2 linked regions of the Mus musculus genome follow. The protein of the gene in region 2 interacts with the protein of the main gene of each other region in a biochemical or structural test. Links are inferred from orthologs where the notes say so. Each region holds a gene or a part of one and is shown on either strand. Other genes may lie near its edges.

Evidence for each region.
Region 1: of the proteins of Klhl12 (region 2) and Drd4, one has a biochemical effect on the other in vitro, tested with the Homo sapiens proteins (2 studies listed by BioGRID, with this or other methods). The link is inferred for Mus musculus from reciprocal best matches to the Homo sapiens genes KLHL12 and DRD4.

Annotation. Positions count from the first base shown.
Region 1 is NC_000073.6:141,290,638-141,296,812, reverse strand, and holds Drd4 (D(4) dopamine receptor), read right to left. Parts: upstream 4,796-6,175; 5' UTR 4,776-4,795; coding exon 4,500-4,775; intron 4,490-4,499; exon of another isoform or gene 3,407-4,489; intron 3,101-3,406; coding exon 2,988-3,100; intron 2,901-2,987; coding exon 2,329-2,900; intron 2,155-2,328; coding exon 1,952-2,154; 3' UTR 349-1,951; downstream 1-348. UniProt on the Homo sapiens protein: Dopamine receptor responsible for neuronal signaling in the mesolimbic system of the brain, an area of the brain that regulates emotion and complex behavior.
Region 2 is NC_000067.6:134,452,028-134,460,024, reverse strand, and holds the start of Klhl12 (kelch-like protein 12), read right to left. Parts: upstream 4,495-7,997; 5' UTR 4,360-4,494; intron 1,598-4,359; exon of another isoform or gene 1,560-1,597; 5' UTR 1,554-1,559; coding exon 1,359-1,553; intron 1-1,358. UniProt on the Homo sapiens protein: Substrate-specific adapter of a BCR (BTB-CUL3-RBX1) E3 ubiquitin ligase complex that acts as a negative regulator of Wnt signaling pathway and ER-Golgi transport.

The DNA.
Region 1 (6,175 bases), on a different chromosome or scaffold from region 2:
ACTCTGGTATGTGTAAGAAATTATGGCTAACCCCACACTGGGCAGAGAACCGTTCTTCCTTCTGCCAGAAGGTCCTGCACCCAGCCCTGAGATTCCCTGAAGGTGAATCACAAGGGTAGCTGAGGGAGGGGCATGCATGTGAGTAAGAAGATGCCAAGACTGTGGGGTCCCTGCCTTAAAAGGGAGTCGGGCACCTGAGGCCTTTCTACTGAATAAGGTCTCCGTGACCATCCTATTTAATTGGAATCAAGCCTTGGGCCTCTCCAACCCTTTGAGCAAGAGGAGCCTTGCCGTTGTTTTCTGGTGGCAGAGAAGCCCTCAGCTGTAACTAGCCACCCAGACCATGCATGCAGTTAGCTGAGATTATACAGCTCAGTTTAATACTAACAGTGGCAGGAAAACAAGACCAAAATGGCAAAGTCATCAAGGAAATGCCCAACCCTATGGGACAGCCTGCAGGGGCATCCATGGCATCTACCCCCAAGGAGTGTCACCAAATGAGGGCCCCAGAACACCAAGATGGGTTTTGGGGTAGTGACCACCCAAGAGCAATGGATGAGTGACACATGCCACCTGGAATTCATCCAATTTATTGTTTCCCTTTCCTCTAAGGAAGAAACTCAAAAGGTCTAGGGGCATGGGCCCTTGGGGCTTAGTTTCCCAAGCTTCCAGAGACTTCTGTCCCCCTCACATGAGTTTCAACCTTACCTTTGTATCTGTAGAGCCTTTCAGTTCAGTGGAAATCAGCAAAGGCCAGGCACATTTGGTATCCTAGGGTCTCCAGGGGCAAAACTTAAGGGAGCCTCAGTTCCACTAATACTAGACTCTATGTGGACAGACATGAACCCAAGACCCCATTGGCCCCTTAGGAGCATGCTGGTCCTGGAAGGTCAACAGATGACACAGCAGGGGCATGAGCATCTAGAGCCCAGTGAGGCCTTATGGCAATTTCCCTCTGTGCTGGGGAATTGTCCCTGTTCAACCAGAGCTAGTATAAAATGTGTGTGTGTGGGGGGGGGGGTGCTACTACTGTAGCACTCACAGCTCATTATTCCTCAATATTGAGAACAGAGTGTGACACATTGTGCCAGCTGCCTTTGATGTGGGACCCCAGCCTAGGACCACCCCCCCACAGACCCCCTGCACTCCTGCCCACAGCAGCCCTGAGTCACATCTCTCCCATAACAGGACGGGGGAGGGAAAAGTGTTAGGGTAGGCAGTCCCTATCAGGAATCACCTCTTCTTGTAGGACTGGGCCTTGGCCAAGGAGCCCCAACACCTTGGCTGCTTGGGCCCCTTAGTCCAGCCTTGAACCTTGCCGCCTGGTCACATAGATACCCAGATGCTGGACATACATAGGGTAAATAAAGGCAGACTGGGTGGGTCTGAGTGGAGGGCTCCCTTCCAGAGGGCACCTTGAGGAACTTGGTCAGTGCTGAGTTTCAGGCACCTTTTGGAGAAAGGCTGGTAGAAAGCTATGTGTGCTGTACTCAGAAAGTTTCCAAAATAGGATACCCACCACCCCTTCAATGACAGCAGAGCCCTCCCTCCCTAGCTCTCCAAGGAGCAAGAGTTGGCCTGGATAGGATCCTGAGGACCCAGCAGCCTCAGGAAATTCCTCTAGCTCCTCTTCTAGGACACTTGGTCACTTTTCATAGTGAGGGGAAACTAAGGCAGATGTAGTAGTTCCCCTACTTTTCTGGGGCAGAGACTTCAGAAGCCTCCTGCCTCCTGGAGCTGAACTGAGCATCCTCAAAGACAGAAGTTAACTGGGGCAGGGGCGGGGGGGGGCATCATCCAGACAAAAGAGCTTCCTCTTTTCTTTTCTTTTTCCCAACCCCCAGCCTTCATAAGTGGTTAGAAAAGATTTCGTTTAATCAGACTGAAAGAATGCGCGCCAGCGCACTCTGCACACAGTCTTGGAACTCCTTGACCTCTGCAGGACATCCTTTCAGCAGCGGAGACGGAGAGTCTTGCGGAAGACACTTCGAAACTCCGCGTTGAAGATGGTGTAGATGATGGGGTTGAGGGCACTGTTGACATAGCCTAGCCAGGTGACGGCACTGACCAGGCGCGGAGACACGAAGCAAGCCGGACACAGCGCCCGCGTGATGTGCACCACGAAGAAAGGCGTCCAACACACCAGGAAGGCCCCTGGGGATGGGCGGCGTGAGCCTGTACACCCGCACTCCAGGTCCCTCACCCAGGACCCCCCACTTTTCACCCTTCCAACCTGGACCCTCCCCCTGTCCCCGGCCTCAGCTCCCGGGACCCCTCCCTCCCTCCCTCCCTCCCTCTATCAACTCTTGTCCCAGGACAGGAACCCACCGACTACCACCGGCAGGACTCTCATTGCCTTGCGCTCCCTTCCCGTGATCTTGGCGCCTCTCCTTCTGCGGGAAGACGGCTCAGGAGGTTGCGGGAGAGCTGCATCAGCGAGCAGACACCCGGGGCTGCAGGGTCTCTGAGAGAGCTCTGACTCCGGCCTGCTGGAGTCGCTGGGGCTCGTCCGGAGGCTGGGTAAGGGAGGTGGGCAGTCTGGGAAGAAGGGACCCTGAGTAGGGTCCGACACCGGCGGGCCGGGGCCGCTGGGTCGGCGCGGCGCGCGGCTGTGAAGTTTGGTGTGCCGGGCTGCCTCCCAGCGCCGCAGGCCGCGGAAAGTGGCCCAGTAAAGCAGTAGCATGAGCGGACAGGGCAGGAAGAAGGAGCAGACGGACGAGTAGACCACATAGTCTCGGTTCTCCAGGCAGCACACGGCCGGATCGCGGCCGGGCACATCATTGAGGCCACACACCACTGGCGAAGCCACCGCGGCGGACAGCAGCCACGTGGCGGCGATGAGCAGCAGCTGGCACTGACCCTGCTGGTTGTAGCGCAGCGGCACGGTCACGGCCACGAACCTAGAGGAGCACAGGAGCGGTGAAGCTGCCGAGTGGGGCGGCTAACCCGGAGGTGGGACTGGGAGAGGGGTCGTCCGGGGTACCCACCTGTCCACGCTGATGGCGCACAGGTTGAAGATGGAGGCGGTGCACAGCATGACGTCCATGGCCATGAGCGTGTCACAGAGACGGGGGCTCAGGAGCCACACGCCACCCTGGACCTGGCCACGCAGAGTTTGCAGAAATGAAACACAAGACCTGCCTGACCTTTGAGCCGCGGACTTGCTGACCCCCACTCTTGTTGAGGGGAATCGAGGGCTGTGTATTAGAGGGAAGGGGGCATACAAGCCCGATGTGAGCCTGAGACATGTGTTGGAGACAGAACGTGCAAACAGACCTGCCTCTTGACTTAGGTCTTCTTTGGTTATGTGAGAAGCTTGGGTAAGACCCAGGGGGGTTGATAACATCTAGGGGAGAGGAGGCCCTAAATTCTTAAGCCTGGCCCCCTAAACACAAATCCTACCCACCTCCAAGACTCGAGTTATCCTCCCTGCATGAACTGTCACTGCTGTGGGGCTTTGGATAGGTCTCTTCACTTGCTGGACACATGGCAATTGTCCTGAGGACAAATGTGTCCTAAAAATACAAAGACCTCGCCGGGCTGTCTGTGAATCTGCTGCACGGAGTGTTCTTTTTCAAGGGCAAAGGAGCACACAGCCGTCTCAAACCAGCCGTCCCCAAATCCCTTCACACTGATTTGGGATGATTATGAGCTTAAGAATCATCACAGTGACGTCTGTGCCTTGGGGAGGACCTGGGGTCAAGTGTGGCCACTGGCCTCTGCTCCAGCTCCAGAACTCAGGGTCTTCTTTAGAAATACCATTCACCCCACCCCACCCTGCCCAAACCGTGGGCAGATAAGAATTGCCAGTAACCACAGCAGACCCACCTACGAGCCAGACCTGATCTGGGGTGTCTGTGTTCCAGGAGTCTCCAAAAGGTCCTGAACCCACTCCCTTTAGCGGCCCCTCAGGTTCAGTATCCTGCCCAGGCCTCTCTGCCTTCACCCTTTGCTGCTCCGAGCTCCTGGGAGCTGGGTGGCTGCAGGCTTTGGGCTTCTTCCGAAGGGTGAGAGTGAGCTGGCACAGGCTGGGGTGTGTGTGTGTGTGTGTGTGTGTGTGTGTGTGTGTGTGTGTGTGTGTTCCCAAAAGGCAGTAGTCATCGGTAGTGATGCTGATGCTGCGTGTCTGCACTTTCGCCTGTCTAGCTAGCTGTTTTTTGCCACAGGCTGGGGGATGCAGCATTTCTGCAGTGGAAGCCAGGGCTTAAATAGGAAGGACAATTTTCTGCGATTCTTGGTTTTAGGGACACGAGTCCTCTCTGGGTAGGTAGCTCTCAGACAGAGTAGGAAGGAATCCAGAGGATGGTAGGGTGACGGACAAGAGGAAAAGTAGGCGAAAGATTCTGAAGAGCGGGAGAGAGTGGATAGTCAGGAGTGAGGAGACCTGACGTCCCTGCAAACACCCTGGCTCAAGGTGGCTGAGGGTCCAAGCGCGAAACTGCGCTGGGGCTGGGGGGCTGGGAGCAGTGGAGGTAGGGGAAGAGCGCACCGAGGCTCACCTCGGAGTAGACAAAGAGAGGCAGCACCAGCACCGCGAGGAGGAGGTCGGCAGCAGCCAGGCTCACGATGAAGTAGTTGGTGGGTGTCTGCAGCGTGCGCTCGGAGGCCACGCTCACGCACACGAGCGAGTTCCCTGCCAACACCAAGCCGATGAGCAGCACGCCCCCCACCAGCGCCGCCGCGCCCGCGCCCCCAAGCCCGGCGCCAGTCCCCAGGGATTCTGGCCCACGCCCGGCCAACAGCCCACCGTCCTCAGTAGCGCTGCTGTTCCCCATGGTGCCACTGCTGAACCCGCTCCGGGAGGCGCTGAGCCTGGGGATTTGCAGGCAGGGGCTACCCGGAATCCCGCCCCCAGCGCGTCCAGCCCCGCCCCGCCCCGGCTTGAATTTCTGAACTCTAGGAAATTGGCAGAGGGAGAAATGCTTCAATTCAAGAGAAATGAGCGAAGTGACTGGCATAAAAAGGCTAAGCAGCGGCTGATGTGTCCCCTCATCGGGGCTAGTTTGTGCTTCCAGAAACCTAGGTAGAAAAGCAGGTTGTCTGGACCAGATTCGTCAGAGCCAGCCATCCCATCCTGGCCAGGAGACAGGCCACTAAATTACCTGTCAAAAGCGGCTCTCCAAGATACCTTGGAGGATGTGGAGAACCTATCTATACTCCTGCACTGGGGTCCTTCCCACGTGGGAAACCATCAGCTCTGGTTCTGGAACAGGTTAAAGGCTCCTCGCCTCTTTCACTAACGGTTCTGGGCTTAGCAATACTGAGCAGCACACCAAGCTCATTCTCTGTGGGCAGATGTGCAGCAACTCTTGGGATCCAGGCCTTGGCTGGCCCTACTTTTCTCACCATCTCTCTTCCCAAGTCTCCATCAGTCAGTGCTTAAGCGGACCATGGTGAAATTGATAATTGGCACCTCCAAGGCCCAGTCTTAACTTTTTATCTAATATATTATTATTAATTTTATTATTGTTGTTGTTGACTTTTCAAGGCAGGGTTTCCCTGCGTATGTCCTAGAACTTATTCTGTACAGCAGGCTAGCACTGAACTCAGATCCTTCGGCCTCCCCTCTGTCTCCGGAGTGCTGGAATTAAAGAGTGTGGACCACCATGTCTGGTTCAGCCTTAAGCCTTAACCATCCTCTGTGGGCCGCTGAGTGGTTACCCCACTTCCTATCTTGACCCTCAGCTTCCTTGCATTTGATACTGTATGGCACGCTGACTACCAGGGTTACCTGACAAGGACTCTCTGAGCTGAGAGAACTCTCACATGGGGGCTCTTTTCCCAAGCCACATCTGGAGGCCATACTTTTCTCTGTGCCAGCACAGGAACCTAGGCTGGAACAGGACAGCACAGGTTGAGAGGACACTGTAGAATCAGGACAGGAGAAGAGACAGCAGCAAGGACAGTCCCTGGAAGATTGGGAGCCCTTGCAGTGAAAGTACCTGGGGACTATGCTGATGAAAGAATTTTTGTATATGGGCTTACTAATGCTGAGAGAGATTACCTGGAGTCCTGTGACTAAAGGGCTATCTTCAAGTGGAGGTAGACTGTAGTTGGTATTTGCTACTTTGTGGGTTCTTCTCTCTCCCACCCTTTATCTCCCCTCCCCCTGTTACACCCCCTATCACTAGATGGGAGGAAAAGAAAGAGAGAGGGGAGGTGGGAGAGATCCCTT
Region 2 (7,997 bases):
GTGTACACACACACACACACACACACACACACACACAAACATACACATACACACCCCACGTGGGTCTCAGGGACTGGAATCTGGTCCATGAGGTTGGATGGAAAGTATCTTTACTTATTGAACCAGCTTGCTGTCTGTCTGTCTGTCTCTCTCTCTCAAAGTAATTTTGGTTTTGGAGAAAACATCTCATATAGTTCCAAATAGCCTAAAACTCTGTATGTAGGCAAGGATGGTCTTAATCTCGTGGCTTTGTGTATATTAGGTAATCATCAGACCAACTGAGCTACATCCCCTACCCTTGTTTGGGTGAGACAGGGTCTCACCAGGAGGCCAGCCTTGAACTCCACTTCCCCACTGCTGGCATTACAGCCACGTGCTATCTCACCAGGCTAAGTTAACACCACACAGCCATTCATTAAATCCCCTCTCCCCTCATTGGAAGTCACCCTGAAATCTGTATCAGTAGCATACTCATTTTCTATAATTATTGATGATTTTTTTAAAGATATATTTATTTATTTTATGTATATAAGTACCCTGTTGCTTCAGACACACCAGAAGAGGGCATCAGATCCCATTACAGATGGTTGTGAGCCATCATGTGGTTGCTGGGAATTGAACTCAGGACCTTTGAAAGAGCAGTCAGTGCTCTTAACCTCTGAGCCATTTCTCCAGTCCCCAAAATTCTTTTTTGTTTTTGTTTCTGTTTTCGAGACAGGGTTTCTCTGTGTAGCCCTGGCTGTCCTGGAACTCACTTTGTAGACGAGGCTGGCCTCGAACTCAGAAATCCGACTGCCTCTGCCTCCCAAGTGCTGGGATTAAAGGCGTGCGCCACCACCGCCCAGCAATTATTGATGATCTGAAGGAGAAAGCCATCACATGTCTTATTCAGAGCTTACCTATTTGACTACCACATTATACAGATTCACTGGTTTACCAGACTTTTTTTTTTTTTCCTTCCTTGTTGAGTGGTTTCAGGTGGGTGTTATTCTGTAGCCCAGACTGGCCTCAAATTTATGGTGATCTTCCCACTGTCAGGACTGTTAAATGTGAGCAACTATATCTGGTTTCAAATTTCTATTTTATTTACTAAGCATTTGTTTGGAAGTTCTAACAGGGAAGACACGCCCCCCCCCAATACTTTTGACTTTTGACTGTGTGTTGGAAAAAAATCCCCATTGATTGAGCAGCCCCTTCAGAAGACACACGTGACAGTGACAGCAAGATTAACCATGGTGACCAATTGGCTGACAAATGCCATAGCTGAATCACCAACACATGCTATTTTGTCCCTTGAAATAAGAGGACTGCAAGGTTACAATGCGAATTTCACTTAGGTAGCAGTGACTTGCATTTACCTCACTAGTGAACATGGCACAGAAATAATCACTGCAGGCGGCCAGCACAATCCGATGCGCAGGGAAGTCTTTCTGCTCCACTCTCAAGGTCACATCACAGAGGGTGTTGCTCTTCCTGAGGGAGTTCATGGAGTTGAGGATGGACTTAGCGTGAGTGTTTGTCATTATGTCTTTAGGGGCCATAATGCCGCCCATCAAGCACTAAGGAGAAAGAACAAAGGAGTCCTTGGACAATGTGGCTACAAGGGAAAAAGATCATAATGAAGAAGTGGGAAACCAAACACACAATTAGTTCTACAAATTCAGGAACTAAAAGGGTTCCTTAACCACAACTTCCACAAATACAGAGCACTTTTGACCCTGGCACCACCACAATCTGGCCAACACCGACCCCAGTAAAGGTTACCTCTTCTTTCTCCAAACTTAACATTCTATATCTTTGGATTCAACCCAGTAAAGAGCAAAATATTAAAAACTAAAGAACTGATTTTGAACATGTGCAGATTTTTATCATTTTTCCTAGTGAATACTATCTTAGCGTTATTACGCTGTGATAAAACATCGTGACCAAAAAGCAACCTGGGAGGAAAGGGTTATTTGTCTTACATATCCTGAGTCACAGTCTAGTGACTGGAACAGAGATGGGAACTAATATTCCAGGAGATAAGGTAGGGATGATGCTACAGGGTCAGGGTAGCTTACTGACTTGCTCCTCATGGCTTGCTCAATTTCCTTCTCTCTCTCTCTTGCTCAATTTCCTTTTCTTTCTTTTCTTCCTTCCTTCCTTTCTACTTTCTTTTCTTTGTTTTGATTTTGGTTTTTTTCTTTTTGAGACAGGGTTTCTCTGTGTAGTCCTGGCTGTCCTGGAACTTACTCTGTAGACCAGGCTGGCTTGGAACAGAGATCTGATTCCCTTTGCCTTCCAAGAGCTGGGGCTAAAGGTGTGCATCACCACCAATCAGCTAGCTCAGTCTACTTTCTTACAGAGGCCTGCAGTCCATGAATGGCACAGTGAGAGAAGCCCCTCCCGACCAATCACTAATTTAAAAAATGCCCTACCAGCTTAACTGCTTGCAGCCCAATCTTCTGCAGGCATTATCTTAATCAAGGCTCTCTCCTCTCAGATGACCATAGCTTTTGTCACAGATATAAAACTAGCCAACACAAATACAGTAAATAACTGTACTGTTTTAGATGTGATAAGTAATCCAGAACTTGTCTTGATAGGGTATGTAAGTGGTATATGCAAATACTATGCATTTAACTCTACATGACTTCAGAGCCAGGTGTGGTGGTATATGCAAGCCAAGCATTCAGGAGACAAAGGTAGATTTCTGCAAGTTGGAGCTCACCCTGGTCTACATAATGAGCTCCAGGCCAGCCAGGGCTCCATAAAGAGACTTTTGTTTCAAAGAAACAAAGTAAACAAAGAAGACCAGCACACTCAGATTTTGGTATCTATGTTTTGTTTTGTTTTTGTTTTTGTTTTTTTTTTTTGAGACAAGGTTTCTCTGGGTAGCCCCAGCTATCCTGAATCTTACTCTGTAGACTGGGCTGGCCTTGAACTCACAGAGATCCACCTGCCTCAGATTCTCCCTGGGATTTTCCTCCTCAGAACACTTTCTAGGGGATGCAATGAAGGTGCTTATGAAAACTGTCCTTTGAGGATGCAAAACTTTCTAAAATGAACCAAAGAAAAAAGAAACTATTCATCTAAAGTCTACAATCCTAATTTCCTAAGATTAAAACTGAGATTCTACATTGTCATCTTTTGTTCAGTAGCTCCTTCAAAAGGACTCTGGACACTCCCCCCCCCCCCCAAACTCTGCAACATGTATTTAACCAAAAACTGAGACAACTTGCTAAAGTAAATGCTTTTTGTTTTTAAAAGGTTTGCTTAAGCTAACATAGTTTCAAACTATGAGATGCAAGAAACTGGGGATTTGCTGAATTCTCAGGAGCTGAAGATTATGAAGATTTCCTAGTGTTCTAGCACAAGGCCCAGCCTGTGATTAAACTTTAAGATTTGTTTCATAAATGACAGTAACCTCAGGGCTGCAACTTTCCTCCTAGCACAAAGCCTGACCATATATTCACCATTCAAAAACTACACATTCTAGAACAGCTAATATGTAAATAGAGGGGTTCCATTCTAAATCATTCTAGAAGGAAGAAAAAAGGCAATGAGAGAGAGAGAGAGAGAGAGAGAGAGAGAGAGAGAGAGAGAGAGAGAGAGAGAGAGAGAAAGGAGTTCTCCCCTAAGAACACCAAGCTTACCATCAAGTATTAGGGAGACCTAGGTAGGCAAGGAGTTAGATATGCGGTAATCATGGAAGCTGCAACAGTATCTTGGTAGCTGTGTCTCCCGGTTAAGCAGGGACTACACTAAGGTTCCCATGGTCAAAATCTGTAAAACTGTATTTGGGATGTTCCACCAAGGCAAACGATACTTAACAAATTGCCAAAACCGCGTTAAAGGGTCTGCATTCTCAAAAGGCACTGGCTTCATTACAATGTGTTGGAGTTTCCAAATCTCCCACCCCATACCTTGCTTTTTTTTTTTTTTTTCAAGATTGCTGGGGATAAATGCCTTACAAGAGGAGGTGAAGACCACTATAATTTGGGAGGGAAAGGGAATTATCTTACCTTCATGCATGAATATACCTTACACCTCACTAATATTCTTAAGAAACTTCTTTAAAACCCCAATGCGCTACTGCCTACCTTCGGAGGAAGCCCACTCCAATCTTTGGAGTGTGTAGCTTTACTAAATAAACGTCCCCTTACTGTTTCTCAGCTGAATTCTTTCCTCCCAGGTTAAACCTTCTCCCGGGGCAGGCGGCAGCTGCTCCGGAGAAGCCGAGAAGGCAGCGCTATGCCTGCAGCGCCCCAGCTCATCTCCTACCGACCCGGGCTGGGGGGGGTACCCGGGTTGGGGGAAGGCCGCGCCCCCGGCTGAGGGCAGAGGGAAAGGCCGTGTGTCAGGGCCGCGCTCACTCACCAGGGCTCCTGGGCCGTCCGAGCCGAGGTGCTAGGCGCCGGGCTCCCAGGCGGCTGAGCAGCCGGAGCGCCGCCGCTGCCGCCCGGACCAGCCGCTGCGGAGCAGTCTCCGTGGTAAACTCCAGTCTCGGAGTACGGCGACCGCGCGGCATGATGACGTCACGCCACGGGAGGGGCGGGCCTCTCCTGGGTTACGTCACCTTAGGAGGCCGAGCCAAGAAGTCCTGCTTACCTGAGAGCTCAGAAAAAGAGACCTGAGAGTGGGTAGACGGGTGGGTGGGGAGTGCCGCGTGTGACAGTGCGCTGGAGGCCAGAAGGACCCAAGACTGGCGGTCCCCACGCGGTATGGCAGGCGCTAGGCTGCGTTCCTGCCACACTCGGGAGACCCACGGGGTTTCAGAGTTCTCTAGGTCGGTTTCTGAAGAATCAGGCTCCGCTTCACCATAGGGAGGACTTTCCCATCCCGGATAACCACAGGGTCCTAAATGTGCCTGTCACCATGAGGCGATTGCTTCCTTCACTCCAAGGAAAAGGAACTTGTGGATTGACTGAGCCACCAGAAATGGGTCGCAGTAGGGGAAACTGCAAAGACCCTTCTCAAAGAAGACGCCACAGCCATCTCCTCTCCTCTGACTCACCATGGTCGTTCATTAGTGCTGCGGTTCTTAGGACGTTTGCTTTTCGTTGATTTTGACTTTTTGCCTTTGGCTGAGAAGGGAAAGATGTTTCTTGTTCCAGTATAGATGAATGACTAATTGGATTATCCAGTTTTCCTTTGCACGGCGTTTGGTTCTTAGGGATAGTAAAGTGTAGTCAAGAGGGCAGCGTCTTCGTTTTACATAGTGTTTTCTTCGTGTCATAGCTTCTTGATCCCAAACTGTTCCTGACATTTAAATATGGTGGACAGAGTGCAGAATTGATAGAAAATGTTGAGGGCACTCTGGAAATAGTTGTTAAAATGATCAATGTAGATCTATTTTGTCTAGGTTTTGTAGTGTAGTCATCAGACTTCAGGGCAGGAATGCTTCCCCACCAAATCTGGACCCAGAACTACTACAGCAGATGAACTTAAGGTAGCTAGAACAGAAGCTAACGATCTTGGGCACCAGGCACATACATGGTGCTCATGTATACATGTAGGCAAACCATTTATGCACATAAAATCTTAAAATTACAAAACATATCTACTGGTTCTCCTGGTCTTCTCTGGCTACTTCTGCTTTTATATATGCATTTCCCCTAGTAACATCTTTGCCCTTTTTCTTTCATCTAGGCAAATGCTTTCCTGATGAGCAGAAAAACACACAAATTCTTTAAGAATTTCTGTGAGAGCTAGACATTACACGTGCATACCCACACTTGGGAGACTAAAGCAGGAGAGAACAAATTCAAGGGGAGAAAACAATAACAACTAAAGCTGAAAATGTGGCTGGCATGTGAAAGGCCCAAGACAGGTGAAGGTCAGAGGGTTGAGAGTTTCTTTGTTTTTGTTTTTAAGATTTTATTTATTTTATGTATATGAGTACATCTTTTAAGCAAGTAAATATGAATTAGTGTGGTTTGAAACCAAGAAAGGTTAAAGTGTACTTGCACACGTATGGATATTCTTGGAGCCATAAGAGAGAAAAATGGCCTAAAGAGGAGGTTGTGTGCATTCCAGGGGTGAGATGAGGGAAGGAAGGAGAAAATAGGACAGCGAGGAGGCACAGACAGGAAGGCAGACAGAAAAGTATCAAGGAAAACTTGGAGAAAGTTGCTACATAGATGTATTGGATAACAACCAGATCCAAGTGGAAAGATACAATATGTAAAAACAGTTTTGTGGCCAGGCATACTAACTAAGGTTTGTATTTCCAGCATTCAAGAAGCAGAAGGATGCGATTTGAGGCAAACCTGGACCTATTTAATGAGCAACAGACCAGCCAGACCCAGTTGTAAAATGTCAACAGTAAAAAGCTCTTTTCTCAGTGTTAACTGTGGAAAAAAAAGGGAGGGGGGAGCTATTAGTTCGTTGTTGTGTGGTGGAAGGTTTTCACCAGTTAGTGGTGGTGCATACCTTTAATTCCAGAGGCAGAAACAGGCAGATAGCTGAGTTTGAGGCCAGCCTGGTCTACAGAGTGAGTTCCAGGATAGCCAGGGCTACATAGAGAAACCCTACTTCAAACAAGAAGAAAGAACAAAAGAGAGGGGGAGGAGGGGAAAGGAAGGGGAAAGGAAAGGGAAAGGAAAGGGAAAAAGGGGAGGGAAGGGAAAAAGGGAAGGGAAGGGAAAAAGGGAAGGGAAGGGGAAAAGGGAAGGGAAGGGAAAAAGGGAAGGGAAGGGGAAAAGGGAAGGGAAGGGAAGGAAAAAAGGAAAGAATTTGAGGGTACTTGATCCTCCCAGGTGACTGGGCTGTACATTCGAAAGACCTTTGTCAGTAGCTTATCCAAGATAGAATGACAATTACCAAGAAAACTGACAAGCAGGCTGGGGAAAAATGCTCGGGCCACCAGAGCTACACAGAGCTTGGTTTTTGGTTTTGTTTTTTGTTTTTTTTTGGGGGGGGGTTGTTTGTTTCTTGTTTTTTAAAAAAATCCTAATGTTGTAGCGAAAGAGAATGCTCATGGTGATTAGGGTGGGAGAGACCTTTGTCTCAAAAAAAATACATACAGAGGAAAAAAGATTTTATTTATTTTATGTATGTATATGAGTACACTGTAGCTGTACAGAGGGTTGTGAGCCTTCATGTGGTTGTTGGGAAATGAATTTTTTAGGACCTCTGCTCGCTCAAATTGGTCCCTCTCGCTCCAGTCAACTCCCTCAGTCCCTGCTCTCTCTGGCCCAAAGATTTATTTATTATTATAAATAAGTACACTGTAGCTGTCTTCAGATGCACCAGAAGAGGACATCAGATTTCATTATGGGTGGTTGTGAGCCACCATGTGGTTGCTGGGATTTGAACTCAGGACCTTCAGAAGAGCAGTTAGTGCTCTTACCCGCTGAGCCATCTCGCCAGCCCTTCTTTGGGTCTTAACCATTTATTTTAGTTACTAATGCTTCTGATGGAATGCAGGAGCTTGTCCTCTGTTAGGGAAACGGGCCCTTGGTGAAAACTACAAATTGTTCCCATAGATTGCCATAGAAGCAGAGGCTAGTGTTAAAAGATTAAGAGTCGGTCCGGTGTGGTGGTGCACACCTTTAATCCCAGCACTTGGGAGGCAGAGGCAGGCGGATTTCTGAGTTCGAGGCCAGCCTAGTCTACAAAGTGAGTTCCAGGACAGCCAGGGCCAGGGCTATACAGAGAAACCCTGTCTCAAAACAAAACAAAACAAAACAAAAACAAACAAAAAAAAAGGCTTAAGAATTATGTTGGCAGAGCCCAGAGCACAGAGGAAAATGAAAAACAGGCTTGTAGCTGGGACGATGCAGGCAAGCTAAACATAACCAGAAGGACAGGGCTCTGGGCCTGTCAAGGGAAGCCACTGAGTCCTCCTAAAGCCCATGAGGAGTAGATGTAAGACATTATTGTCCTTTCATATACTCTTATTTCTGATGTTGCTGATTGTAATAGACTAAAATGTAAGTAAAGATGGCTGCTAACAATAGATTCTACACAGGAGACTACTCACACTACCCCAAAGACAAGGAGCTCGATATGAG